6 separate regions of the Mus musculus genome follow, and regions 1, 2, 3, 5 and 6 are each reported to be linked to region 4. The links are microRNA targets in miRTarBase. Many come from high-throughput screens and were not tested one by one. Region 4 holds a microRNA gene; each other region holds the end of a gene's coding sequence.
The links. The annotated mature microRNA mmu-miR-466c-3p reads AUACAUACACGCACACAUAAGA and lies in region 4 at 3,673-3,694, shown strand. An mRNA with a match to its seed (bases 2 to 7 or 8) in the 3' UTR can be bound and repressed. Matches are read on the target gene's strand: a 7mer-m8 pairs with bases 2 to 8, a 7mer-A1 pairs with bases 2 to 7 and ends in A, and an 8mer does both.

Region 1: miRTarBase lists Rgl1 as a target of mmu-miR-466c-3p. Seed matches in the 3' UTR shown: 7mer-m8 at 1,200-1,206 and 7mer-A1 at 2,442-2,448.
Region 2: miRTarBase lists Fhdc1 as a target of mmu-miR-466c-3p. Seed matches in the 3' UTR shown: 7mer-A1 at 4,280-4,286.
Region 3: miRTarBase lists Chek1 as a target of mmu-miR-466c-3p. Seed matches in the 3' UTR shown: 8mer at 4,326-4,333, 7mer-m8 at 4,051-4,057 and 7mer-m8 at 3,027-3,033.
Region 5: the mRNA of Gabra2 is a reported target of mmu-miR-466c-3p. Seed matches in the 3' UTR shown: 7mer-m8 at 668-674 and 7mer-A1 at 3,290-3,296.
Region 6: miRTarBase lists Plag1 as a target of mmu-miR-466c-3p. Seed matches in the 3' UTR shown: 7mer-m8 at 2,720-2,726, 7mer-m8 at 2,850-2,856 and 7mer-m8 at 3,000-3,006.

What each region holds. Positions count from the first base shown.
Region 1 is chr1:152,514,819-152,519,896 of GRCm38, reverse strand. Rgl1 (ral guanine nucleotide dissociation stimulator,-like 1) reads left to right here. Exons shown (of 18, transcript NM_016846.4): 18 at 701-3,135. The coding sequence ends at 888. Among named protein-coding and RNA genes, the nearest start is that of Gm51749, 23 kb to the left of the region's middle.
Region 2 is chr3:84,439,847-84,444,924 of GRCm38, forward strand. It overlaps Fhdc1 (FH2 domain containing 1), which reads right to left. Exons shown (of 12, transcript NM_001205355.1): 12 at 2,350-5,078. The coding sequence ends at 4,621. Among named protein-coding and RNA genes, the nearest start is that of Fhdc1, 37 kb to the right of the region's middle.
Region 3 is chr9:36,705,820-36,710,897 of GRCm38, forward strand. It overlaps Chek1 (checkpoint kinase 1), which reads right to left. Exons shown (of 13, transcript NM_007691.5): 13 at 2,663-4,611. The coding sequence ends at 4,516. Among named protein-coding and RNA genes, the nearest start is that of Acrv1, 15 kb to the left of the region's middle.
Region 4 is chr2:10,499,943-10,505,020 of GRCm38, forward strand. Mir466b-3 (microRNA 466b-3) reads left to right here and starts at 3,623; the gene lies at 3,623-3,703. The region is part of intron 10 of Sfmbt2 (Scm-like with four mbt domains 2); the gene reads left to right. It overlaps Mir669a-11 (microRNA 669a-11), which reads left to right and starts at 1,397; the gene lies at 1,397-1,483. It overlaps Mir467a-10 (microRNA 467a-10), which reads left to right and starts at 3,331; the gene lies at 3,331-3,413. It also overlaps Mir669a-12.
Region 5 is chr5:70,957,293-70,962,355 of GRCm38, reverse strand. It overlaps Gabra2 (gamma-aminobutyric acid (GABA) A receptor, subunit alpha 2), which reads left to right. Exons shown (of 10, transcript NM_008066.4): 10 at 258-3,964. The coding sequence ends at 554. Among named protein-coding and RNA genes, the nearest start is that of Gabrg1, 120 kb to the right of the region's middle.
Region 6 is chr4:3,899,108-3,904,185 of GRCm38, reverse strand. Plag1 (pleiomorphic adenoma gene 1) reads left to right here. Exons shown (of 6, transcript NM_019969.3): 6 at 1-3,028. The coding sequence ends at 496. Among named protein-coding and RNA genes, the nearest start is that of Mos, 30 kb to the right of the region's middle.

The DNA of each region.
Region 1 (5,078 bases), not on the chromosome of region 4:
CACAAAACCCAATGTCCACATCTGCCCATTTTATTCTATGGTTTTCAAAACAGAATAAAACAACTTTTCATTGACAGAATTTATTACTTCACTGGTAATAACAACCCTTGTTTATAAACTATGAGTGTTCAGGTGGGCATCACTGGATTTGAATATGACTTAAAAATTAGTGGCATGCATTGTCTTATGTGGATGTGGTTTAGTGTTGAAAGGCAAATGCTGGACAAAACGGTGACTCAAAAAGAATAAATGACCAGATTGATTTGGAATTATGTCAAAAGTACCTTAATTTAATCCAAGTAAAGATGCCTGACAATTGCTGTAGGTCTTGTACACGTGCTTGGACACCCTTAGGCTGTGGGAGTACAGCAGGCTAGCAGGGGTTCTCATTCCAGCTCTGTGGTCCTGGGACCGTCCTGTATTTGGTGTCCCTACCCCTGTACCTTCTTCAAGTTCTAACGTTCTGTATTTGAGCAGTACGCTCATGGGAGGAATTCTGACACCTTGTGCTCAGTTTCAGATAGGGAGTAAGTTTTTTGGGACCAATTATGAGGAAGTATCCACATTGCTTGGTCTAGGTTATAGGCAAGAAACAGAGACTCTACCCAGGCCTTGTGCCTGGGCAGAATTGGCTTCTGCCAGTCAGGGATGGGTTCCCCCAACCCCCACTGACCAGCTGCTGTTTCCTTCTCTTTCCTAGAACTAGTGATCCCGGACTCTGCAAACGTCTTTTACGCCATGAATAGCCAAGTGAACTTTGATTTCATTTTACGCAAAAAGAACTCGGTGGAGGAGCAGGTGAAGTTGCGCAGTCGGACCAGCCTGACTTTGCCCAGGACAGCTAAGCGGGGCTGCTGGAGTAACAGGCACAGCAAGATCACCCTCTGAAAGGGACAGTACACTCCTACTGCCCAAGGCAGAGTGAGGCTGAGCAAAAGCCATGGCGACGCCAACCACCACCCAGTGTTGAGCATCATTGGTGAAAGCGACAGATATTTATAGAATTCAGCTGTGCAGAGAGCACTGTGCAGGGGAGAGTGGAAGTGAATTTGACATTAAAAGGATAAAAGGTTCACTGATGCTCTTAGATCTGAGAGTGAATACAAAATAGTCCATATTTTAAAATATATATACACACGCATATCGTGTGTGTATGCGTGTGTTTGTGTGTGTGTGTGTGTGTGTGTGTGTGTGTGTGTGTATGTAGATATACCAGAGGGACTATACAGGATATTCTGGACTATGGAAAAACCAATTTGCACAATGGCCTGGGAAGTTGAGGTCACTTTTTACAGGGAAACAGAAGGGACCAAGAACCTGGTCTCATACTTCCAAGTAAATAGAATTAGAACTACCAATGCGGAGTGTTCTTCATGCCAGTATTACAAGCCCAGGCTCTTATTTTTGTAAAGGGAGAGAATTCCTTTCTCAGTCATGTGCCACCAGATGACCAAACAGCAGAGATTGACATGGCCATAGGCTGCATGAAAGGCCACCATGGAAAGGTTCGGATGGGTCAGTGGTCTCTGCCCCCTGCTGGAGTCTGCTGGAGCATCTGAGGCCTGTGTGCCTTGCTGGTCCCCGTCACAATGCCCCTGGGGTCAACACAAGCTTGTTTCAATTCCTGGAAACCCTGTTGTGTTTCTGCATTCTCTCCTGAGGAACGCACCACAATCATTACCACACAGGTAGCCTCGGTCTTCCATAACTTTTCAGCCAGAGAAGAAAGCGCAGAAGCACAGCAACTCCTCTGGACTCTCCTCTGTCTTGGACCACTCCACCACCCTCTGATTGCCTTTGCATGTAGCAGTGTACATCCGGTCGTTTGCCATCTTTAGCTGTGGGCCTCTGTCTTATGAGCAGTTCTTCCTCAGGTGTAGACATTTCTGCTGCAGTCAACTCCATGCAATCATTTCAAGCCTGTGAAAGATTTCTGAGCAGCAACCCCCCCCCCCCCCCCCCGTCAACCCCTCAGAAACTGTCTCCCACTGACTAACCGCGGCTCCTGTTTCCTTCTTTACTTTAGTAGCATTCCTGTGTTCAGGTCACAGGGAGAGAAAGGAGACTGCGACTGCCGTCTCTGTCCTTTCTCACAGCAGTGCACCCTTATAGAAGGGAAGAGTCGCGCTCTTCTTTCTCACCTCTCACTTACTCTCCTGGTGGCGCTGGTAAGTGATGGGTTTTGTCTGTAATAACAGTTTCATTCTGTGCTTCCGATCTGCGCTATGCTGGGATCTGAATGGAAAAGCCATACATGAAGGAGCTGACATGTATAAGAAGCACTTTCAAATTATTGTTCCTTTTTAATTTTTTTCTCCAAATACCAGTTTTTATTCCAAAAATAAAGAGAATGAACCCAGAATACGATATCCAGATTGTAACAGGGACTTTTTTTTTCTAACCCTATACTTTAGCTCTCAAAGGTTATGTAGGGTTTGTGTTATGTAAATAGCCATACGAACTCAACAAGAAACACCAGGAAAAGCTCAGAGATTTGTGGCAGTGGACCAAAGAGAGAGCCAGGAAGTCATCAGATTCCCTTGTCTTGTACATTCTGACACCAGATGTACCCTGCTGTTTCTAGGAGACTGGACTGGAAGACCAGTTAGCTTTCGACTAATCATCCGAAGGCACTCTCTTCTTTTGTTTGTGAGCCTTTTTTGGTTAATGTTTCTGTGTGTGGTAGGGAGATGGTAAGGATTACAGCCATCAGGAAGACTGAGGTAACCCTAGCCTCAGCCTGGCTTTCTCAGTGTCAAGGTCAAAAAGTCAGTGCAGAGCTATTGGCCTGGTTTAGGGTGTGGCACACAAGACATACATGTTATGACCATGTGCTCACCCTGTGTAATTATACTGTATATGTAGAGCCTAGATTTATATACTGCAATGTAAAATATATATATATATATATTTACCTTTTTAAAAAAAAGACAATGGAAATCCCAAGTGGGTAAAACATGGCCTCATTTATTTAATGCCACTTCAGTTGTTTTAATTTTGCTTCCAGGTAAACAGCTGGACTTTGTTTCCAGCTGCTCGCACGCTTGTCTTTCCGCATCTACAGCATCTGTTTACCTTTTGGTTAAACTAATAAACTGGTTTGGGACTTGGTTGGCATGTGCTGCCAGACCCAAAGGGCTTGTATTTGGAGTGTTAATCGGGTGGGTTCCGGGCTCCAGGTTTGCCAGCATTCAGAGGCCTTCTCTGAATCAGCTGGACAGAGCAGAGGGACAGCAAGTGGCAGAGGGTTGTGTCTGCTGGCAAGGATTGTGAGCTCAGAGGGGAGAGGCACATCCTCGGGACAGACCAGTGATGCCTGCCTTGCTCGGTTGCCTTTCCTTGGAGCCATGCAGTTCGGCTGCCTTTTGTGTGAACCTGGGGTGAGACTCCCTGAGAGCCTCTCTCGAGCACAGTGTGGCACTGTCTGGACAGATACGATGCTCTCCAAGCAGGGAAAACCTCTCTGGAAGTTCTCAGAAGGCGTCCCTTCTCAGCTGACTTCACACAACACACAGTCGCATAATTTTCATCTTGTTATCCATACTTATTTTCCAACAGATTGCTAAAAATGACTCAAGTAGGTGTTTTGAAAGGGAATTGATCATGTGGCCTAACCTCTGAGACTATGTGACTAATTTTCAAAACCATCCTAGAAAATGAGCCCCTCTCCCTATATATGTAGAAACTGATCTTGGAGCCTTTTTGCCTGAAGTCCTGATTACCCTCTCTGAACCACTTTCAGGTTCACCCAGTGTAGACCACAGGGGGCTGCTGTGCTGTACAGTGCTCTGACCTCAGCAGCACTGAGGGCTCTCCTGATGCGACGGGAAGTGTTTATTCGGCTATCCCAGACCAGACTGGAGTAACCAAAACATCCTAGTACCTTAAACCACAGATTTCCTTTTACAGCTAAGGGAGCACGGTGGAAGCCAGGCAGGTCCCATAACCAGTGACCCGGGACCCAGCTATGTCCTGCCTTACAGCTCTATCTGCTTGATTTTCTTCCCTTTCAAGTTACAGTGACAAAGGCTTTTAGCCTTAACTGTCCTGACTGGCGTCGACCGAAGTAACGTGTAGCGCTTCATGGTCCTGTCACTATGTAGCTTGGGCCATGTAGTCTCTGTGCAGGGAAGGCAAGACACAAGTCCCTGAATGTCCCACGCCCCCCAGAGACAGTGTTTAGAGTAGATGGTGAGGACCTCAGAAGGGGTTGCATACAGCAAAGGAGAAGCTGAAGACAAGAGATGTTAACAGGAAGAGAAAATATCAAAAACTGATTTAAATTTGTCTAAGATGCAGAAAAATTCAACAGGAGCCAGTATTTTAGATCATAGTTCGCCAGTTACTATTGGGTATGGGCCCCCATTACCCCTATTCAGAAACCTGGAACCTGTGAGGAAGTATTCTGTCTTACTTAGCAGTTTGGGTAGTCTAATTTAAATCCTACCCACTCTTCTTTCTTTACCTTCTCCCTCTTCCCTCGCCCCTTTGAGAGGGGTATCAACATGAAGGACTTCACTGTGAAGCCAAGTCTGGCCTATCTGGGAGAGCCAGACCTAGACCGTCCCAGACTCTTGTCCTCTCTGCTCAGTGACTGGCCCCAGCCCTTTATCACAACTCCCCATGAGGAAGCGTCATGCCCCTCCATCACTAATGAGCAGAACCTATGCTGCATCATAGGTCCAGGCCTGTGCCCAAGTGAGTGCTAGGACATCATCTCACACAAGAGATGACTGAAGCGCTTTCTGAAGTGCTTTCATGGCTTCTTCCGAAAAATCAAGGTGCCGGATTTGAAATGGAAGCAATCCTAAATGATAGTTTTCTCTCAGACATCCATGATCCTCATTTATATGACAGCAGACAGCCAAGCCTTCAACAGACTCTTATCTGAGAATGTACACTACGGTATGTCTATTTGATAACTTTTTGAATAATTAGTATATCAGATATATCAGAGAGAGGGAGAGAGAGAGCTAGAGCTATCAGACATTTTGTTGGGGCTGTAGTTTGCAGTTTGTGTTGTGCGGGGGGGGGGGGGGGGGGGGGAGAGCGCAGATCGGACTGCTGGGAAGACAGGC
Region 2 (5,078 bases), not on the chromosome of region 4:
TACACTTCGGCCTGCCTTTGCATTTGTCCGGAGGGGCTGACTTTGAGTGGAGAAGTTAGATCACTGGTTACTTGTTCCCTCAGGTCACATGCCTTAGCCTCAACTGCTGTTAGGAAATAGGGCGAAAATGCTCTTGATGCCCCTGACACGTGCTCCTGACATGGAATGCTGCACTTTGCTCTAGAAATGCTGCTATAAGTGGAGTTCCTTTTTTGTGACAATATCATAGCCACAGCCCTCTTACAGATGGTGTCATAGTCCATGCAGGTTGCCATAACAAATTCCCACACACCAAGAAAAGTTACCCCAAAATAGGGAATTGATTTCCCATCGTTCTAGAGGCTACAAAGTCCAAGGTCAAAACAGGAGATGCTGCTTCCTGGTTCGTGACGGTGCCTTCTCACTGGGTCCCCTCATGGTGGAAGGCTCTTTTGTAAGTGCACTAACCCTATTCTCAAAAGTTCTACCCTCACACTAAGCATTTCCCAGAGGCCCCAGCTCCTAATACCACCTCCAACTTGGCTTTAGCCTCCATCAGATGGAGTGTGTGGAGGCAGACGGCTGATGCAAGCATTCGGACTGTATATATAGCAGAGTTTCTGTGAAAACTACTTCTGGGGTGAGCTATGATTACTGAGGGAAGCGCAGTCCCAATTCCTCAACTAAAACCCAGATAAACTTCAAGAACAGCATCTGCCTTGCAGGTTGAACACTGTCTGCATGATGTGATCCTTGGAAGAGCCTGAGGCTGCCAGAGGCAAAGCCTAGGAGCAGATTCCAAGCTCCCATGAATCCAACATTGGGGACTTCAGACTTCCTCATTGCAAGGTCTTTCACCTTCACCCCACAAGATGGTGGCCACAAATGCCAGGCTCCTTGATGTCACAGCCATGGGTCCATGTATGGACAGACTGGCTTCGAAGGGCAGAATGAACTTTGGGCACAGTCAGCTTTCAAACAGAAACTCAAAAGCTCTGAACTGGAAGACAAAAAAGCCATTGTTGGCTACTCTCATCTTCACTGAGGCAGCTGAGTGAGGCTTGGCATATGCTAACTGGAAAATGGAGATGGAGAAGCCCCCAGGAAAAGCTACTCGGGGTTATGTGCTCAGTTGTGCCATGTAGCCAGTCTGACCTACACATTCTTATCCCGTGGATGCCAAGTACGGTGTCTGCAGAGCCTCTAGTCCACATTATTTTAAGAAACACTTGCTGAATGACTGGAAGCACGTCCCTTACTAAAATTTTATTATGTTTAGTACTTATGTTTATGAACACTTACAGGAAAAAGGAAGGGGAGGAAGGAGAAAAGAAGGAGGAGGAGGAAGAGGAGGGAGAGGGGGAGGGGAAGAGGAGGAGGAAAAGAAAGAAGAAGAAGAAAAAGAAGAAAAGAAGAAGAAGAAGAAGAAGAAGAAGAAGAAGAAGAAGAAGAAGAAGAAGAAGAAGAAGAAGAAGAAGAAGAAGAAGAAGAAGAAGAAGAAAGAGGAGGGGGAAGGGGGAGGGGGAGGGGGGAAGGGGGAGGGGGAGGAACCAAAACAAAAACTCATAGTTTCAAGCAGGAATTGAACACAAGTAAAAGCATAAAAGACTAAGAATAATGTTTAATAGCAAATTTTCTAAGTTTACAAAATGGAGTCCTTGCCAGAGGGGCAGACCCAGGGCAAGGACACTGCACCTTTGAAAGCAGGTGAATTTGTACACTGCAGAACAGGCACTAATAGTTCTACTGAAGTACTCCAGGATTTCTCACCTGAACACATGGCTGTTCGGAGTCTTGGATGTGGATGCTTGGGGACTTTCCTCTAGGCTGCTCTCAGACAGAGCAGCTAGGACTATGATGTGATGCGAGCCTGAGGTATGAGGTGCCACCCACCTACCCACAATGCTCTCATTTTCAAATATGCACCCACTGCGCATTTCAAGTTCAACACCTCCCTCCCTCTGCTCATTCCTGAACCAGACACAGACATAATCTGCGATTTCTCAGTGAGTGTCCCAATTCAAAGAGGACACATGGGGACAGATCTGGACTTGCCGGGCCCCATGGAGATCACTCAAAGCCTGGCTGTACCTGGAACAAGAGCTCCAAGGAGCATCAAGTGTTCCGGCAATGGCTTGTGAGATAAACCTGCATCCCTACAGGCCTGCAGCAAAGCCCACTCCCGAGCCCTTGGTCCTGTGTGTGTTGTATGGAACCAATGCCAATAGAAATTTATTCTGACTCTCGAACCTTTGGAGGACAAGTTTTCCATACCCTCCCCCTTTCTTCCCACACCTCACCTTCTTTCAGGGAAAGAGATTAAAGACTCTCCTGGCAGGACAACTAAGACACATGTGCAAAGGCATAGCATAGGTATAACTCCTACAAACAACTTTATTAAGACTACCTGTTCCATAAAGTACGTAGAAAAGGACCTTAAAATGCATTCAGCGCATCCTCAACAAACGCATGTAGAAAGGCATTGACATTCCTCTGTTGCATAGATGATTCTCCCAAACTTACAGTGTATAAAAGGTAGTAAGAGACTGCCCACCTGCCCACCCACGTGTGCACAGGGCCGGCGACACCACTGCTTTCCCAAGCACGCAGCCAATGTGATCTGACAGCACCATACCAACAGGCTTCTCCGGAGGCTCCCCAGCCTCTGCTGAGGGTCCTAGAAGCCACGTCAGAAACAGACACAGGGTGACTGGGTAGCTCGATTCCTGGAAACCATCATGAAGGGCTGGACTCACTTCTATGGGCTGGGAGACAGACACTTAGGGAGAGTAGACGCTTGTACCGAACGAAAGCGGTGTTGGAATACGGCACAGGATGGGTCCCTGGGCCCTCCCACGGGGCTACTCAATTCACCATCCACAAACCTGTCAGCACGTGTCGTCTCTCATCCGTTCCCACCCACCCACAGGCCTTCTGGTTCTGGAGGGTTCCAGAGGGGGACAGATTGCTGAGGGCTTCCTAGCTGCCCAGACATCGCTGCTCAGGGCTGTTTTTAACAAGAGGTGGTGACTGCAGCCTATCTCTGCCACTGTACTGTTCAACTGCTGCAGCTCAGGGACAGCAGCTCAGTTCCCAGGCAAAGATGGAGAGGCTTCCCGAAAGGAGAGACCATAGCAGCCTCCGCAGTCACCTCACAGTGTGACACGCTGACCTAGCCCACCCAGTCACCAGTGTCTGATCTAAAGTGAGATTTCACTAAGAAGTGACTCAGAAAGAAGGGGGCAGGGCTTTTATTTCAAGCTTCCCCCCCCACTTTCTTCTCTATTTCCTGGGTTTAATAGAGAAGTAGTAAAAAGAGCATTGGGTAAGAACTTCTGTTTGCACGATGCCTATCTCCTGCACAGATTTCCCCAGTGTTAAGATTCCTGAAGTCAGAAGTCAGTGTTTCTTGGGGGGTAAGAGTCTATTTAAAATAAACAACCATGACTGGGCTTCTCTCAGTTGGACTTGAGAAGCGCTGTACCAAGGAAGACAGGCTGACACCAAGCAGTATCCCTAGGCTGGGCCTGGTGCCTTGTACCTGTTATCCTAGCACTCAGAAGCTGAGGCAGAGGATTGCAAGTAAGAGGCCAGCCTAGACTAGGTCTCACAATGTCTCTAAAAGCAAAATCAAATAGAATAGCAGGTGGGGGTGGGGTACTGAGGCCCCAGAAGAGAAGGAAGCCTGACCCACAAAAAGGGTCATTTCCCTCTCCACCCGGAGCTAACAGAAGCGAGTGGCCACCATTGCACACATGGGAAGGACCTACTCAGCTGGGCAGCCCTTGCTGTCTTCTACACCAAGCACCCTATCCAGCACCCTACACAGTTGCTCCTATCTTCAGGGAAAACTTCCCTATAGCCATGGGCTCCCCGCCATGGGCCTCACACCCTTGGGGCCCCCTTAAACTCACAGTAACATCAGATTTTTACCCATACAAATCTGACGTCCCTCCTATTCACATGAAATCCTCACCCAGAGTCATTTGAGGAGAACCCACACATTAGCTAGCCAGAAAGTTCTCAAGGAGACAGCCTCAACCGTACAACCACCCAAGAGCTTGTGAGAGGCCACCCCTGGCTAGGTATGGTGTGTGTTCTCCCACATACACGCTGATGGAACCCCGAGGCAGGGGGTGGGGATGAAGGTACAAACAGTTTCATATTAAGGATAATCCCCCCATTCCTGGGAGGCATTTCACTCTGAAAAAGGAACTAAAACATCTTTTTTATTTTTATAATATTAAAAAATAAGTCTTTGATATATAAAAACTGGCCAGAATTTTTTTTTTTTTACTTGTTACATAAGAATTGTCATCTTACATGTCCAGACTATTATTGGATCTTTGTCTCGGGGCAGGAGTTAGGGATAGGGTCCTGAGTATGAGTGACAGGAGGTGCCAGCCCCTGACAAAGTACTGTGCAGAATAAGGATACTCTCAGCTTTGATTTCGAAGCAGAAGTCTGCACAGCAGGCTATAGCTCTCCTTGTACCTTTAGTGACGTGACCTTTAAGCAGGTGGCACCAGTGTGTTGCTCGATGTGTAACAAGATGTTTAAGACTGGCCTCTGTGTCCTCCCCCCGCAGCAGCCAGTCCCAGCAGCTAACATCCCACAAGGCAGAAATGCAGACAGGCGTCATCATTTCTGCAGGGGACGGAGGATCCTCCCGAGGGTGGCCTGCCCCGAGTCCTTCAGTCTGAGAGAGGATCTTTCCGTCGTCCCTCTGCCCTTCAGTGAGGTTTCTACATTGGCACTTGAACCCCCAGCAGATTCAGGACACTTCTTGGAGGCCCGAGCACTGCTGGCCCTCTTCAAAGTGCCAATGTCCTTGGAGGCAGAATCCTCGGAGCCACCTTTGACCCTAAGCTGCCGCTGGGAGACTGTCCTGGTGAGGCCAGTGGTTCTGGCCGCGGGTGGAGCATCCGTTCGCAGGCTCCGAGATGACGAGGCCACCGTATTTCGAGCAAAACTTGGGATGGGGGGAAGGGCTCGAGAGACACCCGTAGCCTGAGGAGCCTTGGGCTCTTCCTTGGGACTCTCGGGGTCAGGAGAGTTGGGGCTGCTGACCTTGTTTTCTTCAGGTTTCTGCCTGGGGA
Region 3 (5,078 bases), not on the chromosome of region 4:
CACACAGAGGAACTGAGAAAAGGAATGTGAAGGCAAGAAGGACGAGAAGACACTAACCCTTCACATCAGCTTGATCCCAAGGCTCAAAACATACCTTGCTGTTATGATGTGCGCAAAGCAAGTTTAAGAGTTGTGTTTGTTTTTCAAGGAAAAACTATTTTTAAGGACTTATTTTTTGTTTTTGTTTTTTGTAAAAATATGTCTAGGTATGTATGGATGTACAAGTGGCCAGAATCCAGAAGAGTGTTTTGGATCCCATGGAGCTATTTATAGGTGAGCTGTGAGCTGCCCAGTGTGGGTGCTGGGGGTTTGCATGCTCTGTGAGAGCAGCCAGAGTTCTGAACCACCGAGCCCTATCTCCAGGCCTCAAGTGCCAAGCTTTCAACAAAACGATTGGAAGACATGCAAAGAAAGAAAACTGTACTGAACACTCCCCACAGAAACACTTTAAATGGAGGGTCTCAAGTGTGTTCAGAGAACAACAGGTTTTGATGTGAGAGCAATCAGGAAACCAATATGTAAACAAGCAGTGTTGGTGCTGGAGAATTTAACAGCAGGTTTAAACCAAGAATCCGCAACTCTGATTTCGGTTCAACCATACAGCACTGTCAGATGTTTTAGCACTGACACACATTCCTACCACGGATTATCACCAACTCCGAAGGCTTAAAATTGAATAAGGAGGAAGGGAAGCCTGACATAAGCAATTTAAGTTGGGACTTAAACAACACTATCACACAGTCAGTACTACCTCACAAGTGACTAAGGGATGGACAGAGACTAGTTGACTGAAATGCTTCCAAATCAGAAGACAGGCATGGATCTGCAAACACAGGGAATACAATGAGCTCTCAGGATGGTTAAGACTGAGACATACATACTGTCACAACACTATCAAAAACTAAAGGTGAAAAAGGACTCTTGAAGGCATCAAAGCAATTCACTGAAGAGAAAGGATCCTAAATATGATTATCAGTTAGCTGGGTGCAGTAGTACACATTGGTAACCCTGTCATTGGGAAGCTGAGGCAGAAGAGTTGCAGGTTTAATGTAGGCCTGGTCTATCAGTGAGGCCCAGGTTACCCTGGGCTACTTAGTGCCACTGTCTCATAAAAACAGTTAATTTCTCAGCAGAACCTTTGTAGGCCCAAAGGCAGTGAGGTGATATATACATTAATGAAAGGAAAAAAAAAATGTCCAAACACTATCAACTAAAAATTCAGTGTCTGGTGAAACAGAATTATCCCATAGAAATAAAGGCAAAATTAAGATTCACAGACAGTGGGCTAAAGGAACTGATTATAACTACTACTGCTATGTAAGAAATGATTAAGATTGCTAAAGTGGAAATTTCTAAGTTTCTTCGGAAAGTCAGTTATGACAAATGATTTTTTGCTGGGGCACACAGATAAAAGAATATCTCGCTAAAGCAGGCATGTGAAAGAATGTTTTCATGAAGCAGACACAGGTGAAAGGACACATGATGAAGGAGTATAAATATGATCCCGCACACAATGAGAGCAAGAGCGTTGGTTTGGCTTGCTCTGCCTAGCTACTCTTCACTAATGACACACATGTATTAGTTGGCCCTACATATTGTTGTTGAGCTCCACTTGTGGTAATGCTGCCATTGGAAGAGGCTCACCAAAGAACTGCTCTAATTCTTGCTGCTTCCATAGCCTCGGACCAGTTGGCAAGCCTTGTGGTTTCCTCAGGACTGAACTACAGATTGTTATCTGCCTGCCAAGAGGACCGGACGGTAGTTGCTGATTTCTGTTTGGTGTTTGCTATGGGACTGAACGGGGGACAAAGAAGATCAAGCTCACCCCTAAAGGGCTAAAAATTATTGCTAAACAGGTCTACTTCCCCCATCTCTAATAACTTTTCTTTTCTGCTACCTCTAGCAGGTGGTGGGCAAGAAGAGAGGTTGAACCCTTATTACAATAGGCTGCAAAAAAATTGTGCCTACAGATTGCCCTTGAACTTTAGATGAAAAGATGCTAGAGAGCAGTAAAAAACCACAATACAAATACCTCTGAAAAGGCATAACTAAAAATCCCAGCTTAAGGATCTGGCTCAGTGGGGCTGGTGAGATGGTTCAGTGGTTAAGAGCACCGACTGCTCTTCCAAAGGTCCTGAGTTCAAATCCCAGCAACCACATGGTGGCTCACAACCATCCGTAACAAAAATCTAATGCCCTCTTCTGGAGTGTCTGAAGATAGCTACAGTGTACACACATATAATAAATAAATTAATTTTTAAAAAAAAAGAATTGTCAAACTTGCTTTAAAAAAAAAAAAGGATCTGGCTCAGTAAAAGTGTTTGCAAGACTTGAATGTGATCCTAGATTGGATCCCCAGCAACAACAAATATAAGAACAATTATGTAAAACCCAAGGATGGAGAAGATGTAGATGAGCTGTCACGCCATCTGTAATCCCAGCACTTAGGAGGTAGAGGCAGAAAGATGAGGAATTTAAAGCTATCCACTCATGGATAGCAAGTTAAAGGCCAGCCTAGACTACATGAAAACTTGATTCAAAATAAAAAAATAAATAAAACCCATATTTACTGTAGTGTGCGTACAACATTTAAAGATATAGCTTTTGGTGTTAATAAAATTACACAGGAAAGACAACATAGCTGTAAATATAGCTGTCCTGTCAAAGTCAAGTTGGGCCAGGCATGCTATGTAATCACAGTATTTGGGAGACAGAGTCAGGAAAAAAAGAAACAGCCTGGGCTGGACAATGAGTTCACAGGCCAAAGGCCAGTCTGATCTACACAGTGAGGTCCTGTTTCAAAAAACAGTTGTTACAAATTTTAAATAAATTGTTGTATTTTATAAGCGGAAAAAAATAAACAACACACAATTATCATATGACATAGCAATTCTACCTCAGGGTCTATACACAAAAAATTAAAAACATACTTGAGCAGGTACTTATATATTCATGTTCACACCAGTATCAATTACATGGACAAAAGGTGGCAACAATCCAAATATGCATGATCATATGAAAGAGTATACATACACACACACACACACACACACACACACACACACACGCACAGACATACATAATATGGAGTATTAGTCACCAAAAGGAATGAAACCTGATATGTTATAACATAGATAAATCCTGAAAAGAGTTGTTATGAAGTAACCCAAACACTAAGAGGCAAATATACAATTCTACTTATATGAAGTACAAGAATATTCAAAATCATGGAGACCAAAGCAATATAGTTGAGTAGGTGCCAAGTAATGGCGGAAAGCAATCATGACTTGAGAGATACAGGCTCGGAAGACAGTACTGCATACCATCAGATGAAGAAGACAATGACATAAAACAGTACAGCGCAGATGGGACTTGGGGTTCGAATAAGTAACGTTTTTAACAAGATGGCTGACTTTTACCACAGTGGGACTACAAGTGGGAAACAGGAGACTGAATAGAGTTAGGTTCAAGTTAACTTTTGGGGATGGGAGAGTTAAGTGGGTGACAACAGCATATACCAACATGAAATAAACTTGAGCCATAAAATTTTAAATGTTCTCAGCTTTCAGACTAACTAATGTTGGAATTTATCTATGAAAAGGAATACAGGACCCCAATCATATATTCATATTTTAATATAAATTTTATGAACAAAACAAAGTTTAAGTGAGTGTACAAGGTGAGGAACAAGGATCCGGTCAACTCCTGCATTTCCTTACTCCCGCCCCTTTTCAGTCAGTGTCATCTAGAAACTTGGTGGCTGGCCAATAAGTTCAGAGTTAGATATTGATTTTGAAAATAGTTTATTTCTAGAGTAATTAAAATATGGCTGTGAATCTAGAAAAAATTGTTTAAGTGTGTAATTTTTAGAGTAATGTCACTTAAGCACTAGAGTTTATGTTCAACTTTGTGAAAATCCAACCAAATTAGTCTTTATATTTGACAAGCTACGCCAGGAGGAAAATTTGCAATTTAAAACACTTTAACTCAAAAAAGTTTTATAATTGGTCAAGCCCTTGTGCAGCACATATACCCAAACTGAAAATACAGTACATACATTAACATACACATTTTTGTGGCTGGCCTCATTCATGAACCAATCAACTGTATATGGTCTGTGTTTATTCATCCTTACAATTAAATAGGCAGAGAAGAAAATATTTTGCTTGGGATGAAACAAGCTTTTGATTTTTCAAAAGTGATACTACTACATGGGTATAAAAGCTGGCAAACTCAAGTATCCCATAACTTGGTTTCAAATCCAGACAATTTAAAGACAGCTGGAGAAATACCTAATGAATTTGATCCATCCTTTCCCCAAAGCATTACATACAATTAAAATACAGTAGTATTTGTATGCCAAACACTACAAATCGGAAGATGTTTGGGTAATGGGAAGAGAACTCTTCAACAACTATTGTTTGCAGTTTGCAGAATAGGATAATCTTCTCTAGGAAGAAAAATGTCACATAGCAGCACTCTATTCACCAGGAATGTGCAGAGCTGACAGCTTCCTCATGTAACAGGAAACCAAACCTTCTGGCTGCTCACAACATCGCTGAGCTTCCCTTTAATCTTCAGGAAGTGTCTCTTGAACTCTAATCCATCACCCTATTTTAGGAAAAATATTTTAAAAATATAAAAAAGATTGTATCAAAAAAGCACATTCTCATTCCTGACCAAAGAAACAAACACCCTTAACTATGTCCAGTTCTTCTTGCCTCCTCCTCTCGGTTCTTTTCTGAGAATACTGGATTGCAGGTATGCACCAACATTCCAGCTTAGTTATGCATTCCATATAAATCTGACTTGTTTGAACAGGATTTTATAACAATTTATGGGTTTTACTAGAGAAGAAACCTTTAACTATATCAAAAATCTAGAAAAGAATTATTTCAACCAGTCTCCCACATACAGAACATGAATTACTCTTCAACCCTTTCTAGAACCACACATGAACTATCAGAAAACAGACATTATATTGATTTTAATACAGAATAGACTTTTAAACTAAAAATAATAGGGGAGCAAAATGGTATTAATCACAAAATCTGTGAAGTTCACTATATTATAATGTA
Region 4 (5,078 bases):
TTCATGATGAGTTAGAGTTCAATATGCCATTCATGTGATGCCCACCAAGAATGTGCATGTGTTTATTCTTGTGTACATATTCACTTTTGTATATGAATATGCATATACTCACATGCAAACATACTCTCACTAACGGCCAGATCTTTGTCTCAGTTAGGAGGTGAATACTCTTGCCAGCATCATGAGGATGAGCAGTTCAAATTCATTTAAACTTTATGATGAGTTAGAGATCAGTCCAGAATTCATGTGATTTTCCCTGTGTATGTGTGTATGTGTATAGGGAAGTGTGCCTGTACATGTGTGTATATGAACATGCATACACACACACACACACACACACACACACACCGAGGGACACATACATGTGCACACAAACACACATGTCAGTCAGCCATTTGATTTATACGTGCTTAGAGTTTCATTGAGTGTATATTCATGGTATATGGAAACATCCAACTTATCACATGAAAACCGCTTACCAGAGTTAGGAGTCTTCTCGTGTCAAATTCATGCTTAACTTCATGTAGAGTTAGAGATCACCCTGGATTTGCGTCATGGACCCTAGGTGTGTACATGTGCATATAATTGTGTGTGCACGTACATGTGTGTATATGATCATCCCTATAAATACACACACATACAAATGTATTCACACACACACAGGCATGCACACTCACACACATAAGAATGACACTCATTGATCCATTTGAATGATATATGTCTTAGAATTTTGCTGATTATAAAGTAGAGGGACAGTGAATATTCTCTCTCACCAGGTGTAAACAATTGGCAGTGTCAGGAAGATCAGGAGTTCAATTTCATGCTTAACTTCATGAGCAGTTAGAGATCATCCTGGACTAATGTGATGGCCCCTATGTATGTGCCTGTGTGCGTAAGTGCCTGCATGTATATGCGTGTATATTTTATGCATATACATACACACACCTACACACACATGCACACAGACATGCGGGAATGGCCCTCACGGATCCATTTGAATGAAATGTGACCTACTGCTTTGGAGGTTATGTATGACTGGGCCAGGGTGAGGTCTCACAAACCACGGGAAAACCCTTGGTAGAGTCGGGAAGATCAGGAGTGCAAGTTCATGGTAAAGGCATGATGAGTTAGAGTCATCCTGGCATTCATGTGATTGCCCCTATGTATGTGTGTATGTGTTGATGTGTGTGTACATGTACATGTGTGAATATGATATACATATACATACACGCACACATAAGACACATATGAGCACACAGACACATGGGAATGGCACTCATCAATCCATTTGAGTGATAAGTGACTTAGAGTGAAAATGCTTGCTAGAGTTAAGAGTATCAGGAGTTCAAATTCATACTTATCCTCATGAGAGATCAGCCTGTGATTCCACCATGTATGTGCATGTGTGTATAGTTGTGTGTGCATGTTCATGTCTATATTTGAATATACATAACATACACACACACGTATAAACGCAAGCACACATACACAGACACAGGAATGGCATTCGCCAATCCCTTTGAATGATAAGTGATGTAGAGTTTTAGCGATTATGCCATAGGGGACATTGAATGTCCTCACTCACCAGGTGTAAAAGATTGACAAAGTCAGGAGGATAAAGATTGCAAATTCATGCTTAACTTCATTTGGAGACATCTTGGTATTAATGTTATGCAACCCATGTATATGTATGTGTGCTTACTTGTATGTTCATTGTATGTGTTGACATGATATACATAACATAAACACACATGTATATGCAAGCACACACACAGGAAAAAAATTGCATTCATTTATACATTTGAATGATATGTGACTTAAAGTTTTAAATATTATGCAGTAGTGGGACAGTGAATGGTTTTACTCACCAGGTGTGAAAGATTGTGGATCAGGAGTTCTAATTCATGCTTTACTTCATGATGACTTAGAGATATGCCTGGGATTCATGTGATGTCCCCTATGTATCTCTATTCTATCTGTTTTTATTGTGTGTGGATTTGAGTATATGGATGTACCTATCTACACAAATAAGTACATGTACAGAGACACAAACAGAAACACACACACAAACATCAGTGCAACTCATCGATCCATTTGAATGACGTGTGACTTAGAGTTTTAAGATTCCTCAGTACTGAATGGGGAGAGGTCTCACTCAGCAGGTGAAGTCCCTTGACAGAGTCAGGTGGATAAGGAGTTCAAATTCGTGCTGAATTTCATGATGAGTTCATGATCAGCATGGGATTCATCTTATGCCCACCAAAAATGTGCATGTGTGTATAGTTGTGTGCATATTCACTTCTCTATATGAATATGCATATACACGCATGCAAACACATTCATAGGAATGGCCAGAGCTATGTCTCAGTTAGGCGGTGAGTATGCTTGCCAGAGCTAGGAGGATGAGGAGTTCAAATTCATGTTTAACTTCTTGATGTGTTAGTGTTCAGCATGCGATTCATGTGATGCCCACGAAGAATGTGCATGTGTGTATAGTTGTGTACATATTCACTTCTCTACATGAATATGCATATACTCACATGCAAACATACTCACACTAATGGCCAGATCTTTGACTCAGTTAGGAGGTGAATACTCTTGCCAGCATCATGAGGATGAGTAGTTCAAATTCATGTTCATCTTTATGGTGAGTTAGAGATCAGTCCAGAATTCATGTGATTTTTCCCTGTGTATGTGTTTATGTGTAAAAGGAAGTGTGCCTGTACATGCGCGTATATGAGCATGCATATATATATATATATATATATATATATATATATATATATATACACACCCACACAACTAGGGACACATACATGTGCACACATACACACATGGCAGTCATCCATTTGATTTATACGTGCTTATAATTTCATTGAGTGTATATTCATGGTATAGGGAATAATCTCACTTATCAGATGAAAACCACTTGCCAGAGTTAGGAGTCTCAGGAGTTCAAATTCATGCTTAACTTCATAATGAGTTAGAGATCACCCTGTATTTGTGTGATGGATCCTAGGTATGCACAAGTGCATATAATTGTGTGTGCACGTACATGTGTGTATATGATCATACATATAAATACACACACATACAAATGTATTCACACACACAGGCGTGCACACTCACACACATAAGAATGACACTCATTGATCCATTTGAATGATATATGTCTTAGAATTTTGCTGATTATAAAGTAGAGGGACAGTGAAGGTCTCACTCACCAGGTGTAAATAATTGGCAGTGTCAGGAGGATCAGGAGTTCAATTTCATGCTTAACTTCATGAGCAGTTAGAGATCATCCTGGAATAATGTGATGGCCCCTATGTATGTGCCCGTGTGCGTAAGTGCCTGCATGTATATGCGTGTATATTTTATGCATATACATACACACACCTACACACACATGCACACAGACATGCGGAAATGGCCTTCACGGATCCATTTGAATGATATGTGACCTACTGCTTTGGAGGTTATGTATGACTGGGCCAGGGTGAGGTCTCACAAACCACGGGAAAACCCTTGGTAGAGTCGGGAAGATCAGGAGTGCAAGTTCATAGTAAAGGCATGATGAGTTAGAGGTCATCCTGGCATTCATGTGATTGCCCCTGTGTATGTGTATATGTGTTGATGTGTGTGTACATGTACATGTGTGAATATGATATACAAATACATACACGCACACATAAGACACATATGAGCACACAGACACATGGGAATGGCACTCATCAATCCATTTGAGTGATAAGTGACTTAGAGTGAAAATGCTTGCTAGAGTTAAGAGTATCAGGAGTTCAAATTCATACTTATCCTCATGAGAGATCAGCCTGTGATTCCTCCATGTATGTGCATGTGTGTATAGTTGTGTGTGCATGTTCATGTCTATATTTGAATATACATAACATACACACACACGTATAAACGCAAGCACACATACACAGATACAGGAATGGCATTCGCCAATCCCTTTGAATGATAAGTGATGTAGAGTTTTAGCGATTATGCAATAGGGGACATTGAATGTCCTCACTCACCAGGTGTAAAAGATTGACAAAGTCAGGAGGATAAAGATTGCAAATTCATGCTTAATTCAGTTAGAGATCATCCTGGTATTCATGTGATGCCTCCCATGAATGTGCATGTGTGTTTACTTGTATGTGCATTATCTCTGTTGACATGCTATATATAACATAAACACACGTGTATATGCAAGCACACACACACACAGGAAAAAATTGCATTCATTTATACGTTTGAATGATGTGTGACTTAAAGTTTTCAAGATTATGCAGTAGTGGGACAGTGAATGGTTTTACTCACCAGGTGTGAAAGATTGTGGATCAGGAGTTCTAATTCATGCTTTACTTCATGATGACTTAGAGATATGCCTGGGATTCATGTGATGCCCCCTATGTATCTCTATCTGTATCTGTTTCTATTGTGTGTGGATTTGAGTATATGGATGTACCTATCTACACAAATATATACATGTACACAGACACAAACAGAAACACACACACAAACATCAGTGCAACTCATCGATCCATTTGAATGATATGTGATTTAGAGTTTTAAGATTCCTCAGTACTGAATGGGGAGAGGTCTCACTCAGCAGGTGAAATCCCTTGACAGTGTCAGTTGGATCAGGAGTTCAAATTCGTGCTGAATTTCATGATGAGTTCATGATTAGCATGGGATTCATCTTATGCCCACCAAAAATGTGCAAGTGTGTATAGTTGTGTGCATATTCACTTCTGTATATGAATATGCATATACACGCATGCACACACATTCATAGGAATGGCCAGAGCTATGTCTCAGTTAGGAGGTGAGCACTCTTGCCAGAGTCAGGAGGATGACGAGTTCAAATTCATGTTTAACTCACATTGAGTTAGAGATCAGCATGCGATTCGTGTGATGTCCTCCAAATATGTGCATGTGAGTATAGTTGTGTGCATATTCACTTTTATACATGAATATGCATATATACTCATGCACATACACGAATGTCACTCATATATTTTTTTGAATGTTATGTGACTCAGAGATTTAGAGCTTATGCAGTACTGGTCCAG
Region 5 (5,063 bases), not on the chromosome of region 4:
TCTAGTGTTCATCTTCTATGTAAAAAACAGCAATTAGTTTTCTATTAAAACAGCGCCGGTATTGTTCTCTGTAAGTTTCTTCACTTGGGGTTTTTAGAATTTACTGAACTTATTTTGCTTACTTCCTTAATTTTTCTCGCCTACTACTAATGATGCATGTTTGAGTAATAATTTCTTCTAGAATTTGAACTGTATTTTGGAAATTTTTAAGATGCAGCCTAAACCCACATTGTGTCAACTTTTGTATTTTCCATTAGAAAAAAGAGAAAGGCTCCGTCATGATACAGAACAACGCCTATGCGGTAGCTGTTGCCAACTATGCCCCGAATCTTTCCAAAGATCCTGTCCTCTCTACCATTTCCAAAAGTGCAACGACGCCAGAACCGAACAAGAAGCCAGAGAACAAGCCAGCTGAAGCCAAGAAAACCTTCAACAGTGTCAGCAAAATCGACAGGATGTCTAGAATAGTGTTCCCAGTTCTGTTTGGTACTTTTAATTTAGTTTATTGGGCTACCTATTTAAACAGGGAGCCTGTATTAGGGGTCAGTCCATGAAACTAGACTTGGTTACTTTTGGGCTGTATAGCAATGTTATACTTGGTTTTGGTTTTGGTTTTTGCTTTGTACAGTCTGACTAATAACTGCTAATTTATGACCCACTATGTATAGTATGTATATATATATAATGGTAGAGCTTACAGTAGACCTCTAAAGGAGACCTGCATTTGCTAACTCATGGAAATACAGGCAGAAAACATCCCGTGCCAAAAGAGCCATTGCCTTTTTAACACATTTACCTAGGAACTAGTTTAAAGTGGGTTTCAGATCCCATTATTTATTTCTTAATGTTCTAATTATAATGAAAGTCGGGATCCCATGTCACACTTTGGGAAACCTTTGATTTAGATATTACATAGAAAAATATTTCTACTGTTGCCTAAGGATGATCAGAGATTAATATTGCCACTCAAATATATGAAACAGCCAAACCTCTGGCCTGGTTGCTTTAGGAGTGTTTAGAACCCCTGCTAGTGTCATTGGAAGCTTGACACACACAAGGAGAAAGCTAGAGATGTGAAACCAGTGTTTAATTACTATGTAGCATATCTATAGCCATGTACATATTACAAGCATGACAAGCTCAAATAACTATGAGTCACCATGAAAGGATGTTAATTACATTTAAATTTAATAACTATTGGAATGTCACAGTCATTCTATTTTTAGCTTCAGAGTTTATTTGAAAGTAGTAATGAACCTTTCAGCTCACTTCAATCATTGGAAACTACCTAAAATTTAGAAGAAGAAGGAGAAGAAGAAGAAGGAGGAGGAAGAGGAGGAGGAGGAGGAGGAGGATAAGAAGAAGAAGAAGAAGGAGGAGGAGGAGAAGAAGGAGGAGAAGGAGGAGAAGGAGGAGAAGGAGGAGAAGGAGGAGAGGGAGAAGAAGAAGAAGAAGAAGAAGAAGAAGAAGAAGAAGAAGAAGAAGAAGAAGAAGAAGAAGAAGAAGAAGAAGAAGAAGAAGAAGAAGAAGAAGAAGAAGAAGAAGAAGAAAAGAAGATGATGATGATGATGATATATGGACTTTCCAGGTATGTGTTGTCAGCTGAACTTTTCTGGTGCTGGAGAAAGGAAGAAAGCTGCCATCTTGGCTGAAATGGAGTGCAGTGAAGTTCACTTATATCAGATTAGAAAGCTGTGCCAAAAACTCCAAGAATGAGAATTCATAGGTGTCCCAGGTACAGAGGAGCACTTATACGATTCTCTTCTTTCCTGTTTACTGCAAATTCTGCCTTAAGGCTTCTCATCAGGGCTCAGAAGCCGCTAATTTTAAAGGAAAGGGCAGTTAGTTGGCACATTTTTCTGTCTGGAAAGCAGCTTTTTTTTTTTTTTCAGACAAGAATTAACGTAAATCTGCTTTTGTAAATTGGAACTTTCAATTTCATTGACTCGAATTTACAGCAGCTTTGTATACCAGAAGAGGTTTTGGTAAGAGTTGAACATTTTTAAACAATGACTTTAGGACACTATCAAAAGATTGTAGATTATGTCACACACACACACACACACACACACACACACACACACACACACACACACACACACACACACACACCTCACATAGCTAAATTAGAAAACATGGTTTTCAATTTTATAAAATTACTGATTGTTAATGGGTAAAAATTCATTTTTCTTTTAATATATGAAATATTATTTATGCCCCTGAAATATGCCCCTGAAATAAGCTAAAGTTAACTGTGTTTCTGTCAAAACTAAATTTACTTATGACCGATGTGTACATTAGCAGTTATTAGTTGACTTTTAAAATAAAACGCAACCTCACGATGATGTTTTTGTAGAAATTAAGTAGTCAAATCGTGGCGTTTCTTGCAGTTTTGTACAGTATTTGAGTAGAGTGCAAACCAGGTCTGTTCACAACATCAATAAAAGGAGCACCTTCTGGAAACAAACTCTCAGCAAAAAAACAAAAACAAAAACAAAAACAAAAAAAAAAAACAAAAACAACAACAACCAAAAAAAAAAAAAAAAAAAAAAAAAAAACCTCGCTGTTCTTTGCCTCATTCAGCTGCCCCGTTTTCTATTCAAGTATGATTTCACTGTGTGTTTTTGCATGATTTGTACTCATACCAGGGTCACAGCTTCATCCTACTAACAGAATTCGCTCTGAAGACAACCTTGACCTTAAAACCTTCCTCACGAAAATCAAAAGTAATCCATCAACCTTAATAAAAGTATTACACGAGCCAATAAATGTATTTTGTTAATTCCCTTTCAGTAACATCTTTATTATCCAAACGAGTTTTAGAGTGTGAATATTGCCCATCTAGTGAAATAAAATATACCCTGGTTTCTTAAACAAATCTGTACAACAAAGGCTCTTGTGAATAGGCTCAGGATGGGTACAGAAGTGTGAAGTGGTGTGACATTTGAAGGCAAATGGTAAGCTGCTCTCCATTGTGAATGTTGCCCAGACGTTAAGAACAGTTTAGGGTGGCAGAGAGAGCTCAGAGGATAACAGCACATATTTCTCTTGCAGAGGGCGTGATTTCAAGTTCCCAGCACCCACATAGTAGTTCACAATTACCTGTGATATGTGCTGTAGGAGCTCTGACACTCTCTGTAGGACTCCTTAGATCGCATTACACGTGTGTTCACATACCCCATGACCCAACTAATTGAGAAAAGAAAATACATCTTTAAAATGAGTAGCTATACTTCTGTCCCACCCTTTGAGTGTCTCATTATAGCTTACATTATTATAAATATGTACATATGTAAAAATGGTTCTAAATAGTTTTGACAGTTAGACAGAAAAGATCCATTTGTATCTTCAACAAAGTGCTGGGGTTATGTTGATGGCAGTACTTTTCAAGGTTTTTATTGATTTTTGTTTTTTTTATGGCAGACAGAGTAGAAAATTAACATTACTGTTTTCATTAATTGAAATAACATAGCTGAAAATTTTCAATTCAGTCATGAGAATAATATATGAATTTAATGACATTATGATAAGTTAGACGTCCCAATTGTGTCTTTCAGAATTTCCTATTGGGTCTTGGACTCTGGCATATTTTTATATATTATTATAAAAAACATCTGTCATATAACAGACACAGACTCCAAGCAAACATATAATTATTTTATTATAAATGCCTAATTCATATAAAGATGTCAATTAAGTTAATACTGAAAATTTATGACCTACAGACCTACTAAAAGGGGCTGTGCTTCTTTTTCTCCTACTTTCAATAACAATAAATACAGCAAAAGAGGTGAACAGAAAATATCCATTCTTTTTACTTGACAATCCTAATTTTCCAAGATATTTTCAGAGATGTATTACAAATTCAAACACATCTGGATAAGTAAACTCTTCAATAATATTTCTAAAAATGCCCTTCTATAGTTTACAATTTATTTAAAATAAACAAAACATTATTTCACTCACATTTTCTTTGGGTATTATTTTTTATCATGTCTCTGGCTGTCTGTCTATATTTCTGTCTGTCTAACATCAATCTATTATTTATCTATCTTCTATCTATCTATCTATCTATCTATCTATCTATCTATCTATCTATCTATCTATCTATCTATGTAGCTACCTACCTACCAACCTACCTTGACACACCAAGTCATCATGAGGCTAGAAGTATTATTTCCCACTGAGGCCAGACAAGGGAGCCAAGCTAGAAGAACATATCCTACATATATAGGCAATGGGTTTTCGGATATCCCCCACTCCAGTTGTTTGAGAACCACATGAAAACCAAGCTGCATATCTGCTACATATGGACCAGAAGGCATAGGTACAGCCTGTGTATGTTATTTGATTGTCAATTCTCTCTCCTCAAGGGTCCAGGTTGGTTGACTCTGATGTTTTCTTGTGGAGTTCCTATCCCCTTTGGGGCTTACAATCCTTCCTCCTATCCTTCCATGAGTCCCCAAGCTCCACCCACTGTTTGGCTGTTGGTGTCTGCATCAGCTGCTGGGTAGAACTTCTCCAAAGCTCTGTGGATATTTTGTATTTTGGGATGGCCTGTCATCCTTCTATTGAGAAAAGTAGGAGGCCACGCCTACCCTTCTGCCACATGATGTTGCCTCAGCATCTACAAAGGACTTGTTCTGTGTGCTTCATACCCTTAGACACTGACTTGTGAACAGAAATATTTCTGAGTTAACTGAAATCTTGAGATGGAAAACTCATATATGGATACCTGTGATTAAAATTTAAACATTTCAATATCCTATCCCATATTTTTGAGGAACTTAATAGATACATATTCATTTGAAATGATTCAAAATTTCAAGGGAACCATTAAAAAAATTGCTAATTGTATCTTATATCTCAGGTATACTAAGTTTCTGGGCTAATATCCACTTATCAGTGAGTACATATCATTTGAGTTCTTTTGTGATTGTGTTACCTCACTCAGGATGATGCCCTCCAGGTCCATCCATTTGCCTAGGAATTTCATAAATTCATTCTTTTTAATAGCTGAGTAGTACTCCATTGTGTAAATGTACCACATTTTTTGTATCCAT
Region 6 (5,078 bases), not on the chromosome of region 4:
ATTCAGTTCTACCTCATACGCAATCTCTATTCCTGAAAAAGAACAGCCATTAAAGGGGGAAATTGAGAGTTACCTGATGGAGCTACAAGGTGGTGCACCATCTTCATCCCAGGATTCTCCAGCATCGTCATCTAAGCTAGGGTTAGAGCCTCAGAGTGGGTCGCCAGATGATGGTGCTGGGGACCTCTCCCTGTCAAAGAGCTCTATCTCTATCAGTGACCCCCTCAGCACACCAGCATTGGATTTCTCTCAGTTGTTCAATTTCATACCATTGAATGGTCCCCCTTATAACCCACTTTCAGTGGGAAGCCTTGGGATGAGCTATTCCCAGGAGGAAGCACACTCTTCTGTCTCTCAGCTGCCCACACAAACACAGGATCTTCAGGACCCTGCAAACACTGTGGGTCTAAGTTCTCTGCACTCACTGTCGGCAGCGTTCACCAGCAGCCTGAGCTCAAGCACTACCTTGCCCCGTTTCCACCAGGCGTTTCAGTAGAGTCTGGGCCGAGGGACTCACCCGAGGTGCTTGTGTAGCCCTGCCTGCAATGACCATTTATATTCTAGTGCCTACTTTTAACATAATACAAAAACTTCTGCTTTTGTATAATATCAGGTTTTATGAAGCCAGTAAATAATAGGAACTAGCCTCTTCGATAAGCTTTGAAATCGTTCGTGTTTAACTACGTTTGCTATTTCTCCTGATTTCCTGCCAGTTGTCATAGTCTCAGAGTTTAATTTCATATAGGAGCGCCATTATTATCACTAAATTTTACAAGTCCTATGTTCAAATTACTGTTAGATCTTAAATTTTTCATTTTTGTCTAATAGCAATGGGCATTGGACTTTTTTTTTTTTTGCAAATATTCAGTACAGTGTAAATCTTATGAAGTGTGTTGTGTGAATAACTGAAGTGTTTCACATTTTTTTACTAGCCACTAAATGGATTCATAATTAAGTGTGTTTTAAATGAGTTAAGAATCCAGTTTGGGGAGAGTATAGTGGTTTCTTAAATATACCATCATTTCAGATCAATATATTTTGAGGACTGCTATTGTCTGGCTAAAATATTTTAAGTTTCAGTATCTATCTAAAAGAAACCTAGAGAGGTAGCAGGGTGTTGTGTGTTAGTACTAGCCCTCAGGCTGGTTTGCCGCATTTCAATCATCTTTCCATAAACAGTGTGTGGCATCGAAGTCATCAGGATCAGTGTAGAAAGGTTTTGTTATATGCCTGTCACCTTTCATACCCCAGGATGGCTTCAGTATACCAGCGTTCTCATTTTGCATGGTGGACCACAGTTATTCCAGAGTCTTAGAGCCATTGTGGGACAATAGACAGTAAATATGTGAAACCTACAATGGCTGGGCTGCCTCAATCGTCGGGGTGATAGACTCCTCAACAGGAAGATGGATGTAAAACAGCCAAACCCCAGAACTTGTCCAGAGAATTCCACTGTTGCCAGAGCTGAAAACTGAACTCCTTGGGTGCAGAGTAAAAGCCTATCACATCACTTCTAAAGCAGTCTTGCCCGGTGAGCTCTTGCTCAGTGCGTATCCATCTTGCCCTGCTGTTTTTGGATGGAGAACTTAACAATTAGACCCATCAGAAAGCAACTTGAGGAGTTCTACAGTTTTACACAACCAGAAGTTGTAAGACCCTACTTTTACTCTGGGAATCAGGAGGAATGTTAGAAACAAGTTGAATCTATAGTGGAAACAGAGGAAAATAAAGCAAACACCAAACGCATATGAGTGCACCTAGGATGTGGAATGCACTGAGTGAGGTAGCGATGGACTTCCTCTTGTCAGACAGCCACCAGGAATGCGATCGATGGTTCCATGTATATCTTCCTAAGGGTTATTTGTGGCATCAACTTATGAAATGTATCTATTAAGCACTTGTTAACACCTTATTTTGGGACCCCTTCTGTTGGGGCAGGGGTGAAGGGAGGTTTATAGAAGGCTATGTATCTCTTTTTTAAAAGAAAGAAGAAGAAGAAACTATATTTTAATTTCTGAGCACTCATTAGCCCTGTATGGGGAAACTCTTTCCCTTCTGTAAGGGCCAGTTATCACTGCATATTGCATTGTTTACCCATCATCCTAAATGTAATTACAGATTACTGACGATAATGCATTATTTACAATGCCTGGGAATAGTCTAAATTGAGGAGAAGTGTAAACTGTCATTTGAATGGGGCTTTCACTCTATGTCATACACACACCTAGTGCACTTCGTAGAATCAGAGTTGCTCTCTAGAGGGTTCAAGCTCCTGGTTCTAACCCTAGAGCAGTAGTTTTTATACTTATGTATTTAAATTTTATTGTGAAAAATACATTTTATTAAAAAGTTTTCCAAAGGCATTAAAATTATATATGTTAATAAGGAAATACATGTTTAACTCTTCAAGCTGCTCCTAAGCTATGAGTGGGAGTGCACTCACTCTGAAAGTGGGCTCTTAGCTCTGCTTCATGACCGCTTCCTTAGTTTCTATGAAACAGATCACTTACCTAATGTTCTAGTTGGATGGTTAGTGTTCAATATTGCTTTAATCACCACTTAAAAAGGAGGGGACATTTGGTGACAGAGCACAAGTAAATAAAAAAACCTATTTTTATGTAGAGTTCACAAGCACCACATATGAAAGCACTAGTTTATTCTATCTAAAATTTGCTTAAGAAGTCACATTAATGACCTGAGACGTTGGCCTTCATAGGCTGTATGTATTTCACTGCTAATTGAAAAAAGGGAGTACCAGGATATATGAAATAAAGCATTTTGAAATGGGAATGGCGCCATATATGTGTGTGTGTATATATATATATATATATATATACACATATATATGTGTATGTATATGTATATATATGTGTGTATATGTGTGTGTGTATATATATATATATAACAAATATATTTTTATCCTAACTCTTACCCTGCACGGAACTCTAGTACACATCTTCCAGGGAACCAGTGTTAAAATGTAGAGTCTTAATTTTCTTGTATGTACACCTCTTTGCCTGTTGCTGCCCCCGCAGACTTGAATAACACTTCAAAGTAAGAGGGAAAGAAGCAAATTTGTTTTTTGTTTTTGTTTTATTGACTACAGTGGTCACTAAACCCTTTTTTGATAGATTTTCTATTAAAAATCAGGCAGCTTTTTTAATTGCACAATATTTTAACAAGGACGTAACACAGAATTGGCTCCACTCCTCCCGTAGAAAATTCTGTCACTTGTTTTATTTGAAGTAGGACTGCTTAGCGATAGGCCTTGCCAATACCCTTTTCATTCTCCATGGTCCTTGGAATTTCTGATAGTGCCTTAGCATGGCTGAAAGAAAAGGGATTAACATTAACTGATACAGTTTATTGTGGCATTTGGACCTCAGGCGAGATGCTGAGCCCCATTCAGTTTGACTTCCACATGTGCATGCAAACGGCATGCATCTGCGGGAGCGTGAGTGCGGAAAGGCCTGGCACTCTAAGCAATATAATCCATTGATATTTACCAATATCACCTTTGTAGTTATTGTCTCATAAGCTTTCATTTAAAACCCTATTACTTGTTCAGTTTTCTATAATTTAAGTTGCCTTGGTGGGTCTTGCACCCGTCTGTGTGCAGCTTTTTTTAATTTCAATCAGCATTTCTTTAAAGCTGTGTGGTTTTTTGCCTATTTGTTGCTTGTGCTTTATTTTTCTAGTCATTTGTGGAATATAGTGATATAGTGTGTTAATTTGGACAGTGGCGGTTTTTTAAAACCATATACTGACTGAACCATGAGCCAGAGCTGATTGCTTTATTAAGCTAATAATGAATGTTATAGAGTACATATTTCAGGATCATTCATCTAGTGAGCAGTACACATATAGGCCAATTAAAAAATAGAGCTTGGTCAACCTCTATACTTCACATACTACAAGATATAGCACTTTCAAAATGAACCTAAATTTCTACAGAAACTTTCCTCTATGTTACGCCTTTTATTTTTAAGACTTATTATATTCATTTCAAGTGCCATTAGATGATATATATGTAGGCCTTTGATATATAATACTTTGTGTACAAAAAAATGGTAGATGATATTTTAAACAGGTACATTTTTACAGTGTTTTCTTACCGATTTGCTATATTGCACAGAATCAGTGTGTGTCTTTTCATAAGGTTTTACAATGGGTTATTTTTTTACAAGGTTTACGTATCTCAAAGCACACTGTCTTCCCAGTCCATAAGTAAGTTTAAAAATACCAGTTCACCCAAGTTGCTTCTAGCCTACTGAGATCCTTGTGACATTGAAGGAGATCTTTTCAATGTTGAGTATTCACCCTTAATGAAGGCAGACTGTTTTTTTCTGACAAATGAGTTTCTTGGTGAGTTTGTCTCATTTTATTCATGCTGTCAGCAGCCAGGTCTACAATACAATGTAGCTCGATTTTTGTAGACCTACATAAATACCTAAATTGTGTTGTACTCACAGAGCACTCCTTTGAGATTATGCAAGATAATGTCTTCGTAGCAGACACAGATCACCAATAAGCCTTTCTACAATGTTAGCAGCCCCTGGGGATGGAAGGCAGTGTCTTTTGATGAGTTATCGATCTCTAAAGATGGCGAGGAATTGTTACTGATGTATAAGACATTTCATTACATAAGCTTCAGTGGTACAGATGAACCAGAATGAATGTCTGTCTTCTCAGAAATCCTCCTTCAACATTATATGGGATCATGCTGCTACTGTCACTTGGGATACAACTCTTCATGGTGCTACAAACTTCTGTCTCATTCAGTTGTATTTTTTATTCATAGGAAAAGGACTATATATAGGTGTAAAGGTGTACAATATATTTTTATACTGTGACTTTAAATTGTCATTAGCAAACTTTTACACCACCACAGTGTATTCATGTGCGCTTGCAAAAGGAGATCTTGGATGTGCAAATGTTACCAGAACAAACCCAGCTTTTGTCCACAAAGTGACTGTAACTCAGAATGGAAAGTGGGCTTGACATAGGGTGTGGAGTGAAGAACATGCTGTGAGTTACTAACAGCCCTTTGAATTTAACAAAAACTGGGAATCCATTAG